2 linked regions of the Caenorhabditis elegans genome follow. The protein of the gene in region 2 purifies or fractionates together with the protein of the main gene of each other region. This does not show direct contact. Each region holds a gene or a part of one and is shown on either strand. Other genes may lie near its edges. The genes, in order: rab-10 and ehbp-1.

Region 1 (3,572 bases), on a different chromosome or scaffold from region 2:
GGTTCTCCGATCGGCCAATGTATTTAGTCATTTCGATTTAATAGTGAACATGCTATACACGAGATGTAGTCTAGAAGACATTAGAAAATACATTTAATTTCTCACCAGAAGTGATAACATCGGGTGTCTTTGAAATATTTAGTAGTCCAGGATGCTGATGACGTGGAAGAATTGCCAACGAGACAACATTCCACGGAGGTCTGATATCCCATTCACAGGTTCCTTCGTTGAATGTACATAACTCCGTACAGTAAGAAATAGGTAGTACTACTAGGTAGATAATTTTGAAAAGCATTGCGTTGAACGGTGTCATCTGTCATAATCCTGAAGTTGGTTAGAGTGACCTCGTTGGATATTCAACAAGTGACCGGTTTTCGGGGGGAGGGGGAGGACATGTCAATTATACAAGAGTAAGCAATGAAGGTAAAGATGGCTAGTTAGCATGTGGAAGAAGAGCAATTTATTTTATTAAGTCTCTGCGCACGAGAAGATTTGTAAGAAAAGTAAAAGGGGGAGGGAAATTGAAAGAAATGGAGAACATATTTAAACGATCATTAGTTAGAACAGGTAAGTGGAAATGGAGAAAATGTTTCCTAGAAGGGAAGAATGTGAGGCAAAAATTCGAAAAAAAATGAGGGGGAAAGAAGAAGAAGCAAAAAAGATGTATTGACATTCAAATTCATGAATACCCGGATGAAACATTTACAAAACCAAATTGGAGAATAGAGAAGTAAGAGGGAAAAACATGAATCTAGCAGCATCCTCCACTGCTACTCTGCCTCTGTGGTTGCACTGGATTCACCGTATCGCGGGATTGCTCGTCAGTGGAATCAGGCATCTGAAAATAAAAACAAATTATGAAAAAAAAACAATCGTATTAATGAAACTAATTTAGATTATTCTGGTGCAATTTTTGACGAAGCGATTAAAATTTTTTGCATGATTAAAAACGAAGAAGTTTCGCTCTTCATATTTTGTACTAGAAGAGTAATGAGGACAAAAATAAAAAGGCTCTTAGATTTTTCAACTAATTACGAACAATTTCACAAGAAAAAATCAGATTCTAATGCATTTAGCAATCTAATTATCACATTTTCGTCGATTTCAATACTATCAGAACATATATTCGCCCGTGCAAAGAATGTACTAATATATTTCGAATTTTCACATCCTTAATTTTAATTTTTAAAAACATTTTAAAACTTTACCTTAGCCAGAATTGCTTCTGCTAAATCGTAAAACGCTGTATCGACGTGAACATTCAATTTAGCTGAAGTCTCGTGGAAGCTGAAAATAAAAATTGTTTGAGATTATATATATATATTTTTTTATTTTTTAATCCTTTTTAATCTCCCAAAACGTACCTAATACCATGATCTTGTGCGATCTTCTCTCCTCGTTCTCTGCTCACAACTCGTCTATCACTCATATCACATTTATTTCCCAATATCATTTTAACAACATCTTCCGATGCATGTTCGTCAATATTGCGCAACCACTTTGCAATATTGTCAAAACTTTTCGCATTTGTGATATCGTAAACCAGCATAATTCCCATTGCTCCGCGGTAATATGATGTTGTGATTGTGTGGAATCGTTCTTGTCCAGCTGTGTCCCAGATTTGTAATTTAATCTTTTTTCCTTTTAATTCGATAGTTTTAATTTTGAAGTCGATTCCTGAATGAAAAAAGAAAATTATTTTGAAATCACTAGATTCTGAATAAAAACTAACCAATAGTTGAGATGAATGTGGTGTTAAAGGCATCATCCGAAAATCTGTACAGAATGCAAGTTTTTCCAACTCCTGAGTCGCCTATTAGCAGCAATTTGAAGAGCATGTCATACGGTCGGCGAGCCATTTTTCTTCTGAAATGAGAAAAAGTTGAGAACTAAAGTTGCACAAAAGTAAGAGAAAAGCACTTGAGTCATGGCAAATAGAACGAACACTTTGAGATTTCGAAGAAGTTATCAAGAGTTGACAATTGGAAGATATTTGGAAGAACTTTCTAATTTTTTTCTAGTTTTCCAAAATTAGGTTTTTGTCATAAAATGTTGTCAAAGAAAAAACAGGACAAAATAGTTAATTGTTGTTTCCATTATAACAAAAAAAAATTTGAACGGAGCTATTAACGCGTGCATGCGCAAATCACATCGATTAGCTGTTTCTGGGAAATTCTCGGGAAAAGGTGAACAGCAGCTGCTGGCTTCCTCTGCGGGTCACGAAAACACAAAGAGATCATTATAATTGTTATTTGGAAAGGAAGCGAATCTAAAACGGGTACAGGTGGACGTTTATTGATCGAAAGTGCTTTTTATTTGAAATTGAATGGTGAACTTTGCAATTTTGTAATGCAAAGTACGTTATCAGATGGCATGAGATGTGTGAAGTGATAAGGAATAAAATGTGAACGACATGTTCAAGAAACTGTGATTTTTCAATAATTTGTGATGAAATATTTTAGGAACAGAAATGAACATATTAATTGATATAAAAACAATAGGAACACTAACTCATAATTATGATAGGTGAATATCAAAATGTGCTAGATTTTTTGAAGTTAAAAAATACATTTCTAATATTTTTTCAAATAATAAGTTTCAGCTGAAATTTCAGGGTGATTTCAGAAAGCTATGTTTTGATAAATTGTTTTGAAAATTAAAAGAAGCTACAGCAAAAAAAAATTAAAGAGAACATCGCTCCCTCGTAGTGTATAATTTTTGATTATCGAAAAAAATGAGTCAATGATGAAAAGGAAGTCGCAATCTCAAAACTTCAAAAATCAAAAGAAGCCGTTGCCTCTGTCATCAAAAATTCAGAAGACAAGGTTGTTGACAAGGGTCAATTCTCAGTGGTGGAGGGCATTGGGCGTGGTGAAATTTTTGAAGGCTAGTGTGGTTGGACCTCTACTAGATAGACAAAACCCCCGAAATAGACGTTTAATTTGATGAGATGGTGGAGAAAGAAAAGGACTCATTCTCTAGATGATAGAGAGACCAGAGATACAGACAAGAGAGGGCGCCTCGGCCGTATGTTGAATGGGAGATCGATGGAACCGAGACAACGAGAAAAGGAATAGAGACGGAGAAAGAGAGAGAGAGCGCGCGTTGTTGGAAGGATGAAAAAGAAAAAAGACATGAGCTGCTTCACAAGAGCTTGGCGAAAGCAAAGGGCAAAGTGTTGACAGCTTAGTGGTGGTAGTTGGATCATGTGTTTTTATGTTTCCGGTGGGAGAAGGTTCAACAAAAAATGAAAAGAAAAAGTTCAAGCGGCATGAATCATTCTGAGTTTAAAACAAAATTATTGCGAAAATTAATATTAAAACCTTTTCACAAAACTTCAAGCTAATCTGTTCATGAAAATTTGAATAATAGTTTTTTCCCACCTATTTAGAATTAACTTCATATTAACGAAATTAATTAACGAATCGAAAATTATGACTTTTCAGAATCATCTGAAGTTTTTTCACATTCCATGCTGCATGGAATAATTTGATCCTGGAATCGATATGTTTTTATGGTATACTTTTTAACCTTCAATTTAGCTGGAAAAGTATGGAATAAATAATTCCCGA
Region 2 (8,160 bases):
TAAGGGCACAGCAACCGATCGCCTGTCCTGATGTCTTTTGTCCGAGGATCAGATAAGTACAGACAACATTGAAAACGGTCGTTAAACTACGTCCAACATAGTAGAAACTGACGCCAACGTATTTGAGACACAAATTATTGAAGGAAATCATAGCGACAAAAACGACAGAAAGAGGTAATACTTCTCGGCTGATTTTTGCATCAATTGGCATCGATGGGAATTTGAATAAACCATAAGCTTTTGATGTTTTACTGAGGAATAAACACAGAAATACGGTGACCAAACATTGATACCAAGTGATGAAAAGCGGAGCATCAAGCTGAAAAAAGAATAATTATTGATGTTCGAGAATTGAACAATTTACCTGCACACTAGACAGCAAATACTTGTTGAGAAACACTAATCCTATTGAGAAGACCCTGAAATTGGAAAATTTAGTTGAATAAAGAAACCTGAATAGCGTACCAATATGCTGAAACAGCTGTGATGACCTGCTTGTAACTCTCCCATTTGGTTGGATTCTCACGATTTCTCATAGCTTCGAAGAGGGCCTAAATTAGAATGAAACGTTTATGAATGGTAGTTAAGGCGGGAGGCAGGACAAACATAGAACGTGGAAAACGTAGAAATGGAAGAGGACGAGAAACAGGCAACACCCGACAACTAGGCCATTGTTGTCGAGTTAATTGCGGGCATTGCTGCCGCAGTTTCTGCTCGATTATTCAGCTTTCTAAGGTTTTAAAGAGTTTGAATTCGTATAAAAATTATTTATAATTAATTGAGACATTTGTAAAAGTTTAACAAAGGTGAAAAAGTAGTTTGTTCACAATAAAATTAACAATATCGTGAGTAATTCTTTACCTGCTTAAGAAATAATCAATATCGAAATCGGCTTTTAACTTTTTTAAAAATATAATTTAATTTTTTAATTTGTGAGAATACAAACGCATTTATGGAGGGAATTACCAAGGAAATAAAAGAAATAAAAGAAAAACCCCTCTGCAAAAATTATTTCGGAAAAAAAATGTTTTCAAACAGAATAACAATGTGCAAACACGGCCACGTCGAATTACACAATATTCTATTTACAGTAACGTGTCTGCGTTTTTGCGTGACTGTGAATGCAGACGCAAAAAGACGTAAACGTTTTTCACGGCCCGGCAAGTGGTACATCCATGCAAATGCGCTCTACTGATAATTGGAGTGTAGACCTCTCCAATTTTTTATATGCATCATAAAAAAATACCACTTCTCGGGCCGTGTTTTTTAGACCAATTTTTGAAAACGGTTTTTCAATATATTGTTGCAATAAATATCTACTTTGTTGTTTTCTTCATGCAGTTTCATCGTATTAAATTAATTTTTGTCAAACAATCACTGTGGTTATGCATATAGTTCTCGATCAAACCATTTATGTTCCTCACGTTTATTAAATATCGCATTTTCGATAGCTCCTCATGTTTTCTGAAAACGTTACTTAATGGTGTTTTCAGAATAAAAATTAACTTATTTATTCTGACTGCCATTTTTTGTTTATGGGAGAACACTTGAACTTCGACGGCGCGCTGAGCAGAGTTAGTGTAACGGGCGCTGGCAGCTGACTGATACATAACGACGAACACTCGAAAAGTAGCACTTGTAACTAAATGCTAAATCGAAAACCTACCGAGAGCGTGAGAGATGGCAAGAAGTGGCCATAAATCTTTGTATCGGCGGTCTCAAGTGACCAATCCAACTCGATCTAGTAACATTACACGATGCTCTACTGTCAGATTGTTTTTGTTATTCTCTCCTCTCCCTTTCAGTTTTACTAAATTTCTATTGTTCATTTTCTTTAAAATAATACAAATTCTTGTGAATCACTGGATAAAATAACATATTTCAGACCTTCTCTTTGGAGCTCCAAATGCTCTTTTCTTTTTACCTCTGTCACTCTCTTTTCCTTCTAGTCTATCGCCTCTCGCTCATTTTATCAAATCTTCTCGCCGCCGTTGTCGAATGAGGAGGAGGAAGACGGCTGCGCCCATTCCTCTCGGTTTCCGCCGCCTTTCCTTTCTTCTCATCTCCTCAAATATCCATTTCCGTACGACAAATCGAAAAGAAATTCTTCGCATTACGCACCTGATTACCATTGTTTTAACATATAAATTGCAGATGGCGGGTATTCTTCGTCGACTTCGGAGATCCAATAAGAAAGCTGCCAAATTTAGATTTACAGTTACTCTTCAGGTTCGTTCTTGATACTTTTATCTCAATTGTTTATTATTTTAGGAATTACATCTCTACACCGACGAACAATGGAAACCAGAAAACCTTGCAGTTTCTTTCGTTCATAGGTGAATACATTTTCTTATCAAAGAATAATAAATGTCAATCAGAAAATAGACACAATGCATCATGATCATTATGGAAATTTGAAAAAAAAAGAAAAATATTCACAAGAAAATAATACGAATCGAAAATAAATAAAAAATTGTTCATGAAACCTTTATCATACAATTTTTACAGACGACGAAAAGTATCATCAAAGGAACGAAAATGGGAAGAATGTTCGGACGCTAACAAATGTTTGATTATGTGGCCTGAGCAATTTTCAGAGAATATAGATATTCTTACAACATTATATCGTATTGCAAGTGATGAATATGAAGATAAAGAATGGACGATTGTTGTTGAAGAAGTAACTGCTAAAGGAAAAAGAAAAGCAATTGCAGCAGTGCCACTCAATGTTCGCTTATTTATTCTGGATCTACCCGATCATAAAAGTGAACTGAAGCTCAAGCTCCGTCCATTGACGCCTCATTTGAAATTGTGTTCCCTGATTATTCTTCTTGGAAGTTCTCTTATTTCGGAAGTAAATGCAGATGATGTTAGTATTACTTCGTCAGCTGCAGCCTCTTTTGTTGAAAAAGTTCCAGTAACAGATGAAGTTGATGCGAGTGCAAATGATTCCAGAGCAGCAGGTATTTTGATTGAAAAAATACAGTTTATTTCACATAATTTGTTTTTTTAAGCTGCAAGACAACAAATCGACACGACAGCTACAAAAATGATGGAATGGATCAAAGAGGAAAAGGAAATCGCTCCGCCTATTGTTCCAGCACACCGAAAACCTTCCGGAGAGAATGAAAACCCTGCAAAAGGTAATTAGAAATCGTTTTTTAAACCTAATCGTTAGAATTTTTGGCTAGAATATTTTCATGGAAAAAAGTCATATAGCCTAAATTCGTGTGTGGTCATCAAAAAATTTGTAGATTTTTTTCATTTTTTTTTCAAGGAACATCGAAAATCGAAAAAAAAATTCGAAAATTATCCAGAAAATGATATATCAAAATTTGTTTATGTTGATGAAGAAAAAGGATTAAAAAAACCAAAATAAATACTCGAAATTTTTTTTTTCAATTTTTCGGAAAACGAAAAATCGAAAAACCGACACCCGTGGCTCTTATAGAATGTATTTCAGTTCGTCCCCAATGGAGAGTATCAGCTGAAGAAGAAAAAACGTCACAACCAGCAGCTCCAGCGCCAATTGCAACCAACAGACATAGTCGGTCAAGCCGTGCTTCGACAGAAGAAAAAGCGTCTACAACAATAGAATTCCGTGTGGATTCCAATTCTCGGCATGTTCCAGTTACAGCAATCGCTACACCATATTATCTTCAAAGTGGAACAATGAGTAGAGGGTATTGTTTGGTTACTTTTCTCACAATCATAATTTTTTTTCAATTTCAGAAGATCAAATTCTCCGAGAGCTCCATCTAGAGATGCTGTCCCTCAACCGATCGATGGAGAGACTTTACTTTCATGGTGTCAGAGAGTTACTAACGGATATTCGCATGTAAAAGTTAATGATTTTATGAAATCTTGGAACAACGGATTGGCCTTGTGTGCAGTTCTTCATTCTTATCGCCCGGATCTCATTGGAGATTACGAAACACTGGATATCTCTAATAATATGTCTGGACGCATTTCGAATATTCAAAGAGCCCTCGATTCACTTACTTTGATAGGAATAACAGAAGTACCAACAGTTGATATGTTTCTGACTCCTGATCGGAAACAAATAGAATTTCTTCTTCAACATCTTCGCCGAATCTTTGAAGGATTTGACGAGGGATCTACACCAGCCAGTGCTTCTGATCACAGAATATCCAGAACATTTGGAATTAATGAATCCGAAGAAAAAGTTGTTGCCATGATTACAGAAATTCGAAATCAAAAAGATCTCGAAGAAGCTGTGGATTATAGACACATTCCTGATGAAGTTCCTGTTACACCACAGTTGGCTAGTCGCAATCCGGCTCTCAATCAACCAACTGACGCTGATGACGATGATGCTGAAACTTCAAATATGCGCTTTGAGAGAAGTAATGTAAGCATAACCATGGTGACTCCAGGAGTTGGAGCAATTCGTGCATCGGTGAGTTTTTATTGAAAAAAAAAATTTTAAAATTTTAAATATTTAGTTTTTGTTTTTTTGTTGAATTTCGAATTGAATAATGCTAATTATTTAAAATAGTTATTGAAATCTTTTTTCACTTCAATTCTACCATTTTTAAGATACTTTGTGTGTATAATATAACTGAAATTATAGGAAAAAAACAGGTTCTTTCAATCGTCAGATTTCTTGGTATATTTTCTTATTTTATTTTTTTAATGCAATTTATAAGGTTATACATAACTGAACATTTCCTACTACCATATAACAGCTTGATAAAAATTGCGACACAACTTAAAAAACTTATTAAATACTCGCCCTTATAAAACTCAATTACATTTGTTCCCAGCGAAATAGTCTAATCAATTCTTTTTCCTAATAGATATCCAATTTTACGAGATTCTTATTTTTGAAAATCTTTACAACTTTCAGAATCGTGCATCACCTTCAAAGCGAGATGAACTACGCCAAAGAGCACGTGATTTAATTGAAAAATCAACAACTCCTGCAGCAACACCAAATTCACGGAAAGCGAGTGATGAAGAGAGAAGACGCGAAGAGGTCAGACGGATGCTGAACGAAAAGCAGCATCCAACGGGTGAGAAGTTTTTAAAAACACAAAAGTTGTCGTGATTCTCTATAGTAATCTCCTTTGTTGTGATTGTTTTAATTATTTCTACCGTGTGTTCCCATTTCAGCAATCCCCTCTACTTCATCATCACCATATCCCACTTTCCGTCGTATCGATGGATCAAATACCGATCTTCGTCGTATTGGTTTGTAACATTTTCAGATCATGCTCCGATTTAATTGTTTTAGTGTTGTGACAAAGCATGTAGTGAATTTATTTTCAGAACTCGATGTACACAAGTTCAAGAAACGTGATCCATCTCCGACGCTCGTCCGCAAACAATGTACATTTTATTATTTCCTCATAGTGCAGTGATTTTTAACATGTCAATTGCATTATTAGGAACAATTTCATCTTAATTTTGTTTTAATTACAGACGATCCCAATGATACTCCTCATGTGCCAGCAATTGGTCGTGGCAGAACAAATGGAAATCGGGTCAGTCATTAATATATTTAAATTCTCGGCATTTCGTGCCTACTTTCTCCCACCTTTTCGCCTTCCGGCAAAAAGGTGGGAGAAAGAAGACGCGAAATGCCGAGTTAACAGTTTAATCCCGAATAGAGCATTATTGGCAACACCGATTCAGGAAAAATATGTGTACCTTTAAAGATACAGTTACTTCAAATCCTCGTTGGTGAGGTATTTTCATAGATTTTTCATAGTTTTTCGATAAAACTTTTTTTTTTATAAAAAACTAAAATAAAACAATAAAACACACATAAATTTAAAAAAAAACTATGAAGAATCGATGAAATATCGACAAATACGAGAGCTTGAAACCTTGCGTCAAGACCAGCTACCGTATATTTTGTCGCAAACTATTTTGTCAGTGTAATAAGTTGTCTGATTTTCAATTTTAAACATTTGAGTATTATTTTAAGCTTTAAATATGAATGTTGTCAATTAGCTGTCAATACCACTAGCAATCCTCATTTCTATCTAACCATAATTTTTCTTTCGTCGATATTATCTTTAGTTCTTCTCTGTTCTATATTTTCTTTTTTATCATACACCGCATTGTACAGTATGCCTAACAAGTGTTTTGCTCACATTTCAGAACGATTCATCAACTCCTTCATCAGCTTCTACATTTGATCGTGTCAAGAGATATGGGAGTATGCGTAGTGCAGAATTGAAAGAATCGTTGCAGTTGATGGCGAAACAATACGGATACATGGTTTGTGATGTTGTAAAAAGTGTAATGTAATGATTTTTGCTTCTATTTTAATCAACATAAAATTTAATCATGGGTGCAAATTGAAAGTTACCGTCTAAATGTTATTATTTTTAGGGAAACGATTTCGAATCATCTTCGCAAGACGCTCTGGCGACACCAACCAAAAAGTTCTCTTCCCAATGGGAAAAAGACGTCGATGACGTTGAAGGAACCGCCAATGAGCTTGTTCGTATTGACGAACGTATATCGGATATTACAGCACAAGCCGATGTAAGATTCTGAGAATTAAAGGATTAATTCAGTTTGTTTTGTTTTCAGGTTATTCAAGACAAGATCCGTGAAACAGAAGTTGGAAGTTCAGAAGAAGAAATGTTGACTGCATCATATCTTGAGTTGACAAATGAACGGAACACTCTTGTACATCGACAGGAATACTATAATATCATTGAGACAATTCGTCAGGTTACTTCGGAAATTGACCAATTGGGAAAACAAATCAATGAAGTTCCTGATGATTTCCCTCGTTCTGATGAGAATAAGACGGCAACGGATAAACTGATTGAACAATATAGTGATGCTATGAAAACAAAAAGTAACTTGGTTCAAAAGTTATTTGCAACTGAGGACGAAATGTAAGTGTTTATTGCTTTGTTGAACCACGTGGTGTCAGGCTGTCCCATCACGGTTTGATCTACAAAAAATGCTGGAATTTTTCGCCTAAGAAAGTGCCGTCAGCACGTTCTTAACCATGCGAAATCAGTTGAGAACTCTTCGTCTCAACTTCCGAATTTTTTGTAGATCTACGTAGATCAAACCGAATGGGACATTCTGACACCACGTAATAAACTACTTTCAGTGAAACTAATGAAACAACATTCGAAATTTTCAGCGAAGAAGATTCGGATCGTTTGAAGAACCTTACTTTGGATAGGGCTACTCGCTTTGTTCGTGGAATAGATCAGCCTGTTTCAGCATCGAAGCGACTTATTCAATGGTGGCGCCGTTAATACGCTTCAACGTTATTTATTACTCAATTTAAAACTACGGGTCTTCTTCTCTTTCTGAAAACAAAGTTTCTCCCAGTGTCCCTTTGTTATCTTCTATCATTTTTTCTCCTTTCCATAATTCACTCTTTCCCGTTTTTTTGGCAAATTTTTAGGAGTTAATCAAAACATCAAATTTTTCTCTATCTTTTCATCTCTATGTGTATATTTTTGTATTCAGTTTTCTTTTCTCTCGGTGCACACAAATCCAAATGCTTTCAGCTTTCAATAAATCAATTCAGAGTTTTAAATGATGTTCAGCAAAAATTCATTCGAAAAAAGAGGAAAGTGTGTGGAAGACTGGTGAAAAATACTTTACACGTGGAAATATTTAGCGTAGAGATCAAACAAGTGGGATAGGAAAAAGCAAGCTCGAATTGTGAGGGAATGTACTGAAAGAAAAAACAAATAAATTTGAGAAATTGAGTGATATGGTTAAAAAATGAATCGCATTTTGCAGGAAAAAATACTCGTATGCATTAATTTGAAGAAAAATAGATGAGAAGAATAAACTTAATATTGTACTCTCATATTACGAGAACACTAAATCCTGAGAAGGCGTATTGCGCAACATATTTGACGCGCAAAATATCTGACCGAAAACTACAGTAACTTTTTAAATGACTACTGTAGTGCTGGTGTCGATTTACGGGATCGATTTTCACTTATGTTCGAATTGCGACAGTGATATTCAGTTTTTCGTATTGTTTTGTCATTTTTGTGTTTCTTTTAATATTTAATCGATTAATAAAATGTTTCCGTAAATCGACACTAGCGCTACGGTATTCATTTAAAGTGTTACTGTAGTTTTCGCTACGGGATATTTTGCGCGTCAAATATGTTGCGCAACACGCATTCCCAGAATTCA

The links.
Region 1: the proteins of ehbp-1 (region 2) and rab-10 purify together in Caenorhabditis elegans (affinity purification with western blotting, with the first as the bait; 2 studies listed by BioGRID). This does not show direct contact.

What each region holds. Positions count from the first base shown.
Region 1 is NC_003279.8:6,456,614-6,460,185, forward strand, and holds rab-10 (Ras-related protein Rab-10), read right to left. Parts: upstream 1,867-3,572; 5' UTR 1,860-1,866; coding exon 1,733-1,859; intron 1,678-1,732; coding exon 1,365-1,677; intron 1,288-1,364; coding exon 1,209-1,287; intron 839-1,208; coding exon 752-838; 3' UTR 669-751; downstream 1-668. Other genes in the region: mam-8 (MAM domain-containing protein), read right to left, coding at 106-313. UniProt on the Caenorhabditis elegans protein: The small GTPases Rab are key regulators of intracellular membrane trafficking, from the formation of transport vesicles to their fusion with membranes.
Region 2 is NC_003283.11:9,548,490-9,556,649, forward strand, and holds ehbp-1 (EH domain-binding protein 1), read left to right. Parts: upstream 1-2,154; coding exon 2,155-2,229; intron 2,230-2,271; coding exon 2,272-2,336; intron 2,337-2,508; coding exon 2,509-2,963; intron 2,964-3,014; coding exon 3,015-3,143; intron 3,144-3,463; coding exon 3,464-3,683; intron 3,684-3,732; coding exon 3,733-4,420; intron 4,421-4,870; coding exon 4,871-5,036; intron 5,037-5,136; coding exon 5,137-5,214; intron 5,215-5,292; coding exon 5,293-5,352; intron 5,353-5,445; coding exon 5,446-5,507; intron 5,508-6,129; coding exon 6,130-6,249; intron 6,250-6,363; coding exon 6,364-6,519; intron 6,520-6,567; coding exon 6,568-6,881; intron 6,882-7,138; coding exon 7,139-7,256; 3' UTR 7,257-7,543; downstream 7,544-8,160. Other genes in the region: nstp-10 (GDP-fucose transporter), read right to left, coding at 1-319, 365-419, 466-551, 1,321-1,347.